Linked DNA regions of Drosophila melanogaster. The protein of the gene in region 2 interacts with the protein of the main gene of each other region in a pairwise test. Each region holds a gene or a part of one and is shown on either strand. Other genes may lie near its edges.

Region 1 (4,850 bases), about 14 Mb from region 2:
GTGCCGAACCGCCGGCGCAGCAACTCCATGTAGCCGTCGGAGAACTCTTTGCTGAAGCTGTGCAGGAATTTGCCAGGATTGTCCGCAAAGAGGAGCAACTGGCGCTGGTGGGACTCGCTCATCGTGTGGCACTTGAAGCCGTTTTCATCGCGGCACTGCTTCTCGCACATCTGGCAGTACCAGCGCAGCTTCTGCAGACCCTTCGATTTCATCTTGTTGGCGAGGTACTTGGGCGTACCTACCTCGGCGCGACCCATCGTAGCGTCTTTTTATGTGCGTGGTTTTACAAATAATTTCTCAACAAAAACTTATTGTTTTGATCTCACGTAAAGGTATGACCGCGCTGGGGTATAACAACAATACCCGTGAACACTTTTATCGATAGTTACTGCTGGGGGATGTTCGTGTGACCAGGCTAATATTATTTGTTGATAGCGGTAGAAAATGAATTTAAAAAACTTAATATTCATTTCTTGAAAGATTTTTATTTAAATATTCAAAATAGAGATTAAGCCGAGTTTACATAATAAAGGCGTATTTTTTATCACAAAGTAATAACTACAATGAAATGTACAATTGAACGATTTCCATTAATTAGCTTAATTCACATAGAAAATAATTCAAAGCACAATTTTCTCGCCCAATCTCTCAATTTCGTCCAAAATGAAGTCCAACTCTTTGCTTTTCAGGATGGGAAAACAAGTGAAGACCATGCGAAAGAAGTTGCCCAGATTTTTAGCTTTAAGAGGCGAGTAACCAATCATCAAAGTGCCGCTGTGGGCCATTTGCTCCTTAATTTTCGGGGCCACCTTTAAAGGAGCATATAAAAATGTGAGCTTAAATGGTCTATCAAAGCCATTGTTATTCACTTACAGTGTAAAGTCGACTCCACCATTCAGGCGTCTCCTCCTCGCTGGACACCCTCATTGCTTTCGGAATGAACCAAAAGCAGACATTGGAGTACTCGTGCTCCGGGATCACCAGTCTAAAGCGATCTCCACGCTGGCGCAGCTTGCCTTCCAGCAACCTGGCGATGTGGATGGCGTGGTCCACCATGAGTCCATACTTTCCATATCCGCGAGCCTTAAGCATTAGCCAGAACTTGAAAGCGTCGATCTTGCGGCCGCACTGGACACTCTTGTTTCCCGTATCGTAGGATACATCATAGAACTTGTCCTGCTGGAACAAATAGTGCGCCTCGGTGCTGTTGCATCTTTCCAGCAGACGGCCAGATTCCCTGGTCAAAAAGAGTGAACACTGCAATGGAGCGCCGATGGTTTTGTGCGGATTCCAGGAAAACGAATTCGCCCGCTCGAGGCCGGCAATGAGCGATCGGTTCTTGGCGGAGAGTAGTGCAGCGCCTCCCAGACAGGCGTCCACATGGAGCCACAGACCATGTCGTTCCGTCACATCCGCCGCACCATTGATATCATCAAAGGCACCCAACACAGTGGTGCCTGCAGTACAGTTGACAAAGAACGGTTCACCGCCACGTGCCTTTGCCTCTGCGATCTTCGCCTCCAGGTCGTCCAACAGCATCTGACCCCGCTCATTGGTCCTCACCGACACACAGTTGTAGCTGCCCAATCCCAGCCAGTTGGCCGCCTTCACGAAGCTGTAGTGCGACTCGTCGGAGGTAAAGAGCACCAGCGGTCGCATTCCAAACATTCCAGACGTCTTCACCTCGGGCGCGATCTTATAGCGGGCCAGAACCATGCCGTACATGTTGGAGGTGGAGCCACCGGGCGCAAAGATGCCATCGCCTTCCTTGTATCCCGCTAACTTGCAGATGGTCGCGATCACCTCAGTTTCGATCAAGCTAAACACGGGCGCAACTTCGTAGGTGTATCTGAAACAAAAGTTTATTGTGTCTTGTTGGATACCTCGGTTAAAAGTCTGATTTTGGTAGTCCTATCTAGGAAATCTCATCTAAATGATTAATAACTTGCAATGATTGTGTATGAACTCTGCTTAATCCCCATTTAAATTAATCGAAAGGGGGGGGGGGGGGTTATGAAACATACATGTAGTACTTTGCAATCTCCATTACATAGCGCAATTATCTGTACGTTGAACCCCGACACCACTTGTAGATTGGAACACGAGATGCAATCAGCGGTCACTCATATAGACAAGACACATGTGTGGAATAAGGCGCAGACTTACGTGCTGCCGTTCATGGCCTCGGTGACCAGGGCTCCTGCCAGTCCAAACGGGTCCAGCTGGCCAAAGAGCTGATTGTGGAAGCGGCCGTGCGAGGTTTTCACAGAGTAATGGATCACCTGCTGGCACAGCTCCTCGATCTCCGCGAGCGAGCAGTTTTCCGTCTCTCGAACCTTCAGGTTAATCAGTTCCTGGAAGTGATGGTGCGAAATCATGTAATCTCAAGATTGTTATAGAACAGCGACTTTTGCAATAAGAAAGTATATTAAAGATTCAACATATTTCTAAAACGTTTTCTGTTTCGAACTAATAATATCTTTACCCAGAAAAAACCGACCATAATCTATGAAATAACAAACAATTCAATTATAATTAAAACTATCAGATACTAGCATGAGTGTGCTCAATCAGGAAGTGCTACTATCAATTGACTCACATTTCGTCGGGCAAGCCATAGTACAATTGCTACAATTTGCGGTCGGGTGGTCAATTTTCGAATGAACTCTTCCATTAATCAGTTCTCTGTTATCTCTGGTTATCTCCACATCGGCAGACGCCGAATCGTCTATCACTTGCTCCACTCACCTTAAGTTTGTCTGGCTGCAAAAAGGGGACTATCTTCTGCTTGTCCCATTTCTGGGGATCCACGCAGAAGGTATCCTCCTTCCGGAGAAGGTGGAATACGTTCTCCAGGATCTTCCAGTCGTCCATGAGGCCATCGCGAATCTGGTCAACAGTCTCTGCTCCATCCACTGATTCAGCCATACTACACTCGGTCGGTAGAAGTTTCCGTATCTCAATTGGCCAGTAAAAGGCTGATTATTTTTGGCTTTCGAGATCCGAACCTCTTCCGTCGACGATTCAATCAGAAGTGCCCCGTCCGACTGCAGCAGATTGTGTTTTAATGTTATCTTGATCAAATTCTCATCAAGTTGTAAACCCTCGTCTTCGCTCGCACTCAAATGGAAATACAAATGATCGGGGCTGTAAGAACACACATACACCTCCACGCTTGTGCTCTTTAGAGTGAACCTCGTTTTATTACGAAAGCGAAATAAAAGTGATATTAAAGTCGTGCATATTTAGGTTACTTAAACATACAATATATATCAATTAAGCACGTGCCTTATTAGCTGATTCGGCTTATCTCGTAACCAAAATCCTGCACAATTCGTTTTCTTTTCATCTCGACGCATTATCGTCAAATTCAATCGAAATTTGCATATTTACCCTATCGATTAAACAAGTTTCATGTGCATGCCACCAGAAAACTTGGTCAACTAATTGGATGCCCAACACCGCAGAACTTAGCTGAGCTTACTTTTTGGAAGTCTCGCTGCAATGATTACTTACAAATATTCAAACGAGTACGGATACCTGCACGACACTGCGGCTCAGAAACGAGTTTCAGCTCACCAGATGTATCTGAGCGATTCTTAGATGCAAATCAAGGGCGAAACAAGTACTACGAGTGCTTTTTGCTGTCGTCCACGTGCATTGCCAACTAATGAAGTGGGAATCTCGCAGTAAACTGTTTCCAGTGTGCCTGCAAATAGAAAGTAGAAAATGAAATGCCCATTTCACTTTACTTTCATTGCTGTACTGGTAGTACTCCAAGTGGCTACCAGCATTTTACTTATCCAGCAGATAGCAGAGTCGGAATTTTATCAGCTTTCGGTGCAAATTTCGTTTTCAAGCTATAATAGAACGATTAAAACTCACAGATACAATTCTCCTTGTACCCAAAAACTTTAGGAAACGTGGCGTATTGTCAATGTAGATTTAGATTTAGATTTATAGAGGAACAATTAATTATATAACAAGAGCTCTAGTCCCTCGAAAATATATTCAAATTGCAAATTTGTTCACGTAAAACGGTTGCATTTTAATATGTTTTCCTCGATTTAACATTTTATCGTTTGTATCTATATGCATTATTTAAAATTTTACTTTTTTCGCCAACAACGTAAAAATGGAAGAAGGTTTGTGTTTTCTCATATTATTTAAATATTCTATTTGATTTCCTGGATTCATATAGTTGTAGTTGCAGTTCAGTTTGCGGTCGAACGTAGTGGCAAATTCATTTCTACAGATACATTTCCTAGTAATCATCTAGATCGAAGCCATCATTGTCCAATTCATCGAGCTGCATACTCTGGAAATCCACCTTGTAGCGTAAGATACCTGCAGAGGCACACCCAGCAATTGAATTAAATTAAAATAAGAAACAAAAAAAAAAAAAAAATAGAAGAACAGAAGCTGATTGAAAATTGAAAAATAAATGAAGAGGAAAAAACAAAAGGATCAACACACAGGATAGTTCAACCGAAACTCAGATTCTCACCTCCTTTGTATCCACATTTAACTTTTCATACACTAAATAAAATATTTGTTGTACTTCGCGACTGAATATAAACGGATACCCCATCCTCATTGTGTGGTGTTTTTATTCTGGTTTAATTTTTATTACAATTTTATGGATTAGATTTGTATACTTTCTTATAACACTCGGCTATAATTTGAATAGGGGAAATGCAGATACGTTCGAAAGTGGCATGTGGCAGTTAACCGAAGATCTTTTGCTCCTAATACCGCAGTCGAAATCGAACCAGATGAACGGAGAATGCGCTAATATCTATCGCATCGCTTTTACATGACCATTGAAATACAAATTACGAATTACGAGT
Region 2 (3,076 bases):
AAATTTCTATTGATTTGCGAAAAACCTTTTTGCCACGCCTACTTTAACGCCCTAAAGCAGCCGAGTCTGTCACGCCCACATTTTAAACAATTTTTAAATTTTTTCTCATTTTATTTCATAATATCTATCGGTATCATAGAAAAATTATGAAATTTCGCGTTCGCATTCACACCAGCTGAGTAAAGAGTATCCGATAGTCGGGGAACTCCACTAAGCATTCTCTCTTGTTTTAGATAACAGCTTATCATATATGATGAACTGTTGTTATGTCAGGTTTAGTTCTCAATATTATTGATTGATTAATCTAAACACAGTTCTCAAAAGTCTATAACTTCTATTACTTATAACTTATAACTTCTATATCACAATAAAACTATAGCACTTTGAATATTGTTTTTAAAATAGACCATTGGGAAAAGCTATATCTTAAAAAGTATATTTATATTTTACGTAAATTATCTTATGTTTATAGATAAGTGATCAATGATTTCCTGCTACAATTAATTCCCATTTAAAACAAATTACTTCATGTAATAATTTTTTCTTTAATAACACTTTAGGCTTATTGATTTAGATTCTGTTCTCCTTGATAAGAACGGTAATAAAGGTTTTCTATTTCCTGTTAACCGACATTAAAAAGGAACTAGTTAAAAATGTTGAAAAACTTATGCCACGGGGGCAACGGGCAGATGAGCACCCTGGGGCTGGAATCCGTTCTTATCGGCGATGTAGTTGACTTGGTAGGTCTGGCCATCATCAGCAATGAAGCGGTAGGATCCACTCACAGAGATAGCCTCGTTCTCAGTTCCAATGTCGTTCAGCTGACCTACAGCTTGAGCAGCCTGTCCATCGGAGGTTTCCCAGCTAAGAAGGAAGTCAGTGTCAGCTAGGTATCCTTTTGGGTCATTTCTCATAGGCAACTTACTCGTATTTGAAGCTTTCGGGTCCAACGTCGGATTCAGAGCGCACGATTGTGGGTTCCTCAGCGGCAGGAGCAGCCAGAGCCACGGCGAAGAGGGCGACGAAGACAATCAGGAATTTCATGGTGATTGTTGTTTGGTGCTTAGATCTGCGGCTATCGAACAGTTCGCGACGAATGATGCTCTCTGTTGGCCAGGGCGCGTCTTAAATAGTTGGACAACCTCTCGATTATGCTGAACGCATCCGAATTAGTCAAAACATAATGTGAAAAATGTATATTATTGAGTACCAGCTATCTCTGAATGGCTTAAAACCTAACACAAAATGCAAATCAACAAGTTTAGGCAAGTTGTTCAAATTGGTTTCACTAACTCAGTTGTTACTAGCAAAAATACTCGGCTGATATTAATAACCACATGAGAAACAAGGAAAAATTATCAATAGATGGCAATCTCACAAGCAGAATCTGAAAGCGGCTGGATAAATCGGCGGGACAGTTGGCGGGACAGTTGGCGTGAGATTCTGCGGGACACGCCGGAATGATCCCTAATCACCAGTTTGGCTTCAGAAGATCCCACGGATCGACCGATCAATGTCACTGGAGGTATTCGAAAAAAAAGAAACATTTCTGTGCCGTCTCAAATCCTGCACGGAGAGGAGAGTATTCCAAGTTAGATGCGGAAGCTCAATAAGCTCATCTAGGCCCATTAGAGCCGGAGTAGCACAAGGCAGCGTCCTTGGAGTGTCCCGCTGACACCAGGTGTTCCGCCAACTTGTCCGTCGACTGTCCCGCCGACTGTTCCTCCAACTTGTTCCGCCGAAATCCCGTCGATTGTCCCCGAAGAAGCCACAGACATCATCCAAAATTAACTGGATGCAATGGGCCCTAGGATGCAAAGGTGAAACATCGTAGTGAACGCGGAAAATCAATTTTCACTTTCGCACAGAGGAGAATGCCGTACAATCTCTTTAAGCGGAGACTGAATCTCTAATTTACTCACACTCAAGTACTTAGGGATGACTCTGGATCGCAGGCTAAGCAACAAATTTGTGGAAACTATGTACGATTCGAAATAAGTTATTTATTTTTCATAAATATTGACTTATTGCGAAATGATCACATTAAAAAGCCATTCTAAAAACTTCTTTAGGAGATGTTACAATTGTTAAATAATTTTTCCGAAACTAAAGTTTCAAAACGAACATATTCATGTATCTTTAATCAATCTGTTGAGGTTTTATTCATAATTGAAGGATTTTTCAGTAAAACAATATTAACGATGGATAGCTCAAACCACGGGGGCAACGGGCAGATGGGCACCCTGGGGCTGGTATCCGTTCTCGTCGGCGGTGTAGGCGATGGAGTAAGTCTGGCCATCATCGGCCACAAAGGAATAGGTACCCTTGACGTTGAGAGCCTCCTCATCAGTTCCAACGTTCTTCAGCTGTCCGGCGGCCTGAGCAGAGGATCCATCGCTGGTCTCGTAGCTAATCAAGAGCAAAGGGTAAGAAAACAAATCCTTGTCACATAGTTCACAAAACATACCCATAGTTAAAGCTTACAGGTCCGACATCGGACTCCTGCTTCAGAATCTGAACATCGGCGACAGCCAGGGCGAAGAGGGCGACGAAGACAATCAGGAACTTCATGTTGATTTTTGGCTTATGTGCTGATCTCGAAGAGTTCGATGCGAATGATATCGATTGACTTTGGGATGAACTCATTTATACATAAATTGTGAACAAGTCCAAGGTGCGGTGACGCTAATCTAATTCGCATACTGAGCATAAAATGCATGATATTGAGTTCAGTTTTGCTTTCAACTCAATGGTGAACGTTTTTGAGTGTTGCCATTTCAGCGCTTCAATTTTGATTACATTTTATCAAATTTGTTTGAGACTAGCTGTGGAAATTTAATATTCATAGATCTAGAGATCTAGAGAGATGTGGATGAATTTAAATTAACGATACATTTATTTATTTATTATATTATTTTTGAATGGGAAATGTAGACTTCTTTCAATGAAGTCCTTTTAAAAATAAAATTCTAATTAGTAAAAAATTCAAAAGAAATGGGAAAAAGTAGGCCAGGCATGTAACTTTATGTAGCAATAATTGCTCCAACAACTCGGATTTATTTGTTAGGTATAAGAA
Region 3 (4,781 bases), about 12 Mb from region 2:
TTTGAGGGACTTTTTTGGATATTTTTTCGTTCTGATTAAGGAAAGAAAGTGAATTTTGTTTTGGGAAAGCATGAAGGATTGGGATATTAACAACGGTCTAATATTTCAGAACGGTTTCCCCTTTAAGTGAAGTTTGTGGGAATCCCTTGTGCGTTGACTAATTTCCGAGGAATTTCTGTGCATCCTTGGCCATCAATTTGTTGTCAGCAGCTGAGGAGGCGCCACATCAGCATCTCTGGCACTTGTTCCGCCATTTGAATCCGGTGCTCATCCTCTCCCAGTTGGCTGGTCCCTTCTCCTACTCTTTCCCCTTCCCTTTCCCTTGCCAGTGTCCTTGTTCTTGGCTAAGTCGGATCCTTTGAGTTGGGAGGAAATGCTATCATTTGGTGCCTGTCATCGTTGTGTTCGTTGTTGCTGCTGTCTGTTTGCCTGACGCCGACGAAAGGTTAAGGCATGCATCGCTTCCATCAAATTAGACGCATTTTCGACGCGCTTTGTCTGCCAGGCCCTCTCTATCTAGCTCAGTCGTCCGTCTCTTTCTCCCCAACTATGTCTGTCTCTCTCTTCCACACTTTTCCCTACACTTCCTTTACCCACTTTGGCAATTTTCTAGCTGACGCCGCTTTGCCTTTACGTTTTATCACTTCATTTGCACTGAAATGTCAATGTCTGGCTCGTTCCTTTCCCTTCCTTTTTCAATACCTTTGCACAGACTGTTCCCATTTTCACTTATTCAATGGGTTTTAATAAAAGTCCGGGGTGTTTTATACATTTTTTCTTATCTTAACCACATTTTTGCCAAATGCTACTTGGTATCAGAAACATTGACAAAATATGTCACCAATGGTGCAAACCTATAATGAAAGACTACAATTTTTAATGTCTATTCTGTTAAGATCCTTGATTTAAAATTATAAAATAAAACGGATTTAAAAGTGTACAATTTATAGTTTCAAGCTAAAAAATTGCATACTATATCAACTTGATTATAATTCATTTTTAAATGCAAAAGTAAAAGCAAATTAAAACACTTCCGATTTTATGTATGTAATGTATAAACTCACGAACAAAGATTTGTAAATTATATAATTAAAGGGAATATCTGATTTGTAAGAGCAATCCCAGCCTCGTCGGACGCCCAGTTCAGTTTCAAAGAGCATGGCCAAAAAAGTCAGGAAGGAAGCAGTTTTGTTGCAATGACGTGGGCGGTATTTTTTGTGGGTGGGCAATTGCTGAGTGTGGGTGTGTAGGAAGCATTGGATTGGATTGGATGGGAGGGGTTGTGTCCTGGCGCTAAAAGAAATCTGTCTGACAAATTACACGCCCCGAGTTGCAGAGTCGCAGCAGCAGCTGCTGAAACGCTTCGTTTGCTCCTCCTCCGTGACTTGCTCCTTCACTTTCGCCTGCTGTTTGCGTTGTCTTCCCGTGCTGCTTCTAGCTCCACATTCGGACTCAGGCCATCAAACCGATTGACTGAAGGATTGGGCCAGGGCACGTCATTCACTCAGTTAGTCCGTTAGTCAGCGAGTGCAACGGCCTTTTGATTGGGCTTTATGGTCATGGGGTGGCAGTGGCTATCTCCGCCTCCTTGTGCCTTTTAGTTGGTCTTGCGGGGAGGGGGTGTTCGGTTTTAGTGGACTTTACTTAGCTGGATGAGCTCATTCGCCGGGTTATCTGGTGTGAAGGGGGAACTACGGAGGCTAAAGGAACTTGAGTTTCATAGCTGAACAACATAGAGGGCTTCTATAAAAATTGTAAGTAGCTCATAGCTTTGGTTCTGAACCACTTGGTTAACTTTCTCATAATAAAATGGGAATTACTTACAATTAAATCAAGTTTACAAAATTCCACACCCCTAGGAGTAATGAGCCAATAACAAATAATTTCTGCTGCACTTTAATATGTATGCAGGATATTTATTAAGAAAATTACTTGTGGCCTTGGCATTTCTTTTCTTAAATTGGCATTTTTATTCTGCACATCTCACATAACGAATTAATCAACATGTCTCCGTAACAATTTCTGCATTTATTCTCAGCATAGCACTTCTCTGAATAACATTTACGACCATTCCAGCATTCCCTAATTTGTCAAATTTTGTTTCGTTTCCCCAAAATCCTTTCTGGTTTACTGCGGCTGCCGTCGATGGTCAGCCCTTCTCAGTTTCCACATCATCGGGCATCCTCGTTCCTCAACCCATCCCATCGCCTCGTAGGAAGACCAACCTCTTTCCCTCAACGCAAGACATTCAACAGTTACAAATTGCTATTCGCACAGAATTTCAGTTATCTGATAAATTTCAACGCACACAAACATTTGAACGTTGAAAATGGAAAACCCAAGCACAGAGCGAAAGTATTGCAAACCCTTCAAGTTAAACTATATTTATATTTAATTTAAGTTCAAAAACTAGAATTAGGATTATATTTATATGTAGATGAGGAGAGCTTATTTTTTATTTACTATATAGTACATACATATTTCTAATCACATTGGAGATAGATAGCACCCAATCGTTTTAGATGTGCACACAAGGCAACCCGTTCGATGCTCCTCGAGGCACATTTTGCTTACCACTTGAATATATTGTGTCATCTAGCCACTCATCCTTTCGAATCCGATAAAATGGCACACCACGCACTTTTCGGGGTTTTCAAAATATTTGGCAAGCGTTTCTGCAATTCCTCGGATTGCGACGCTAATGTTATTTTTCACTCTACGTCGGATTTATTTGTGATTCGACGGCGGCTGGTAGTAAAATTATTTGTTTATTTTCCTTGCGTTTTTGGCCGCTAATTTGGATTGGATGCAGGCAGCAGGAAAAGCCCCCGGGGGTTATCTATCACCCGCCCAACTTTTTCGCCACTCTCACCCTATTTGGTTTGAGTTTTTCGCGCACGTTCATCGAATTTGGTCTTTGGCGCTGGCGAAGTTTTTGTTTACTTTACCCTGGGTTTGCTCGTAGTTTGGTTTTATATTATTATTTTAGATTCAGATACAGTGACTGAACTGCACGTTCCGGTGTTGTTTTGCATACTGCGCGCCGCATTTGCCGGCGAATTTTGTTATGGTGCATGCGAGTTTTCCGATGCGAATTTTCCGATGCGAGTTTTCCGACTGCAGAGTCGCTCGGATCCACAATTGCGCTCGGTGCTCGGCTTTCAGGTTCGTCGCCCGATTGGCCTGATGCCTGATGCGTGTTGCGGTCTGCTGCCGTTTTCCCAGCTGCAATTTTCCTCAATTAACAGTTGGTCGGGAGAGCACGCGGTGAGGGAGACTCTCCCGCCGACACTTTCTCTCTTATACGAACTCTCACTTTCGTTGGCCAACAACAGTCGAATGTTAGCGCTTGCAGTTCTGTTGCCATTTTGGGCAAGTGCTTGTTGATTCTACTGGTGCCATTTAGAAGGATATAAGAACAAGGATTATCAAAGTATAATATTGAGATGTGTTGTCGCTATAGGTTAATCAAAACTACTTCCATGTGTTATCTATCTCATGCTAAAACAAGAAATTTTAAAAAGTTTTACCTTCCTTTGGTATCATGCTGTTATAAAAATTATTTCCAGTTATTTTGGACCTAAATTTAATTACTCTAAATTTAACATATATTAGCGAGCATATACCCTTATTTTATCAGATTTATAATTCCTTATAATTAAAATGTTCAAAATCGTTTATGGGATGGCTTACCGGCCGTATACGTAATGTGTTATTTATACTTTTACCAAATTCCAATAACACAAATGTGTTTGCATAACATATTATTTTCGGCACAATTGTTTCGTAGTTCAGGTATGGCACTGCATTTAAAATTATATCGGTATTGGGACAGTCAATGTTATAATTATAGTTGCAAATGTACGTGTATTAGCTTGAATTCGGAAAGGCTTTGATTGCTGATTGATTATTCTAGCCTTAATTGCATGCATTTTGCATACAGTTGTTTGCAATAATTGAAATCAGTAATGACATGGAAAGGAGGACAAGAAATGCATGCTCTCACAATTTACTTAGGATATGATATAGCAAGACTGTGCTATATCATATATATATTCTTAAAAACATTAAAAATATGTTCTTGCCTCGTTACCAAACATCACACTCGATATAAATCATTCATACATATTTTTTCCAAAGTTTACAAAGTTAGTTTGCAAATTTATCAGATATTTAAATTAAGTTTGGAAAGTGATTGCGTTTCAGATACCAATCTTTAGTTTCCTCCTACATTTTTTGGGTAAATAAATCATATCTCAGCACTGCCACCGTCTCAGAGCTCCAACTTAAGAAGCCCCAGGCGTCGAAATCTAATTGCCGTGCACTTGGAAAACTATCCACCTGGCCCAAACCCGGAGTTATCTCCCTTGCTCTGTTGGTCATTAGAAGAACAGGAAATTTTCCGTTTTTGTTCGCACCCAACTTGGAAAGAAATTTGCTGCAATAATTTCCATGTGGAGCCAGTTGATGTTTTCGTTTAGAAAAAAGTTCGACTTGGTTAGATGACAGTGAAAAAAAAGCTGGCAAACATATGGTAAGAGTTGGGGGATATCTAGAAGAAACTTTGGAAAGAGAGTGACACAGAAAATATGGCAACTGTCGACGTTCTTCGGAGTCAAACTTTAGTTTGGCCTTTTGAGCAAAACTTTTAATCCTTCTGGTTGAATTTCCGACAGTTTGCTTTAATCCTTTTCCGTTGGCACTGAAAAGTGCTTTAAATGCGACCGAAATTGGGAGATGTTTATTGTTTACCATTCCTCAAATCGTAAAAAGTTTTATCC

The links. The genes of interacting proteins can lie anywhere in the genome.
Region 1: the proteins of Lcp65Ag1 (region 2) and CG5618 interact in a two-hybrid assay, tested with the Drosophila melanogaster proteins (one large-scale study listed by BioGRID).
Region 3: the proteins of Lcp65Ag1 (region 2) and AstC-R1 interact in a two-hybrid assay, tested with the Drosophila melanogaster proteins (one large-scale study listed by BioGRID).

What each region holds. Positions count from the first base shown.
Region 1 is NT_037436.4:20,352,304-20,357,153, reverse strand, and holds CG5618 (uncharacterized protein), read right to left. Parts: upstream 3,235-4,850; 5' UTR 2,929-3,234; coding exon 2,749-2,928; intron 2,355-2,748; coding exon 2,167-2,354; exon of another isoform or gene 2,025-2,166; intron 1,850-2,024; coding exon 874-1,849; intron 810-873; coding exon 621-809; 3' UTR 522-620; downstream 1-521. Other genes in the region: kin17, read right to left, coding at 1-257; eRF1 (eukaryotic translation release factor 1), read right to left, coding at 3,600-3,709.
Region 2 is NT_037436.4:6,134,170-6,137,245, forward strand, and holds Lcp65Ag1 (Lcp65Ag1), read right to left. Parts: upstream 1,106-3,076; 5' UTR 1,045-1,105; coding exon 926-1,044; intron 865-925; coding exon 666-864; 3' UTR 528-665; downstream 1-527. Other genes in the region: Lcp65Af, read right to left, coding at 2,211-2,409, 2,468-2,571. UniProt on the Drosophila melanogaster protein: Component of the cuticle of the larva.
Region 3 is NT_037436.4:18,558,498-18,563,278, reverse strand, and holds the start of AstC-R1 (allatostatin C receptor 1), read right to left. Parts: upstream 3,022-4,781; 5' UTR 2,575-3,021; intron 1-2,574.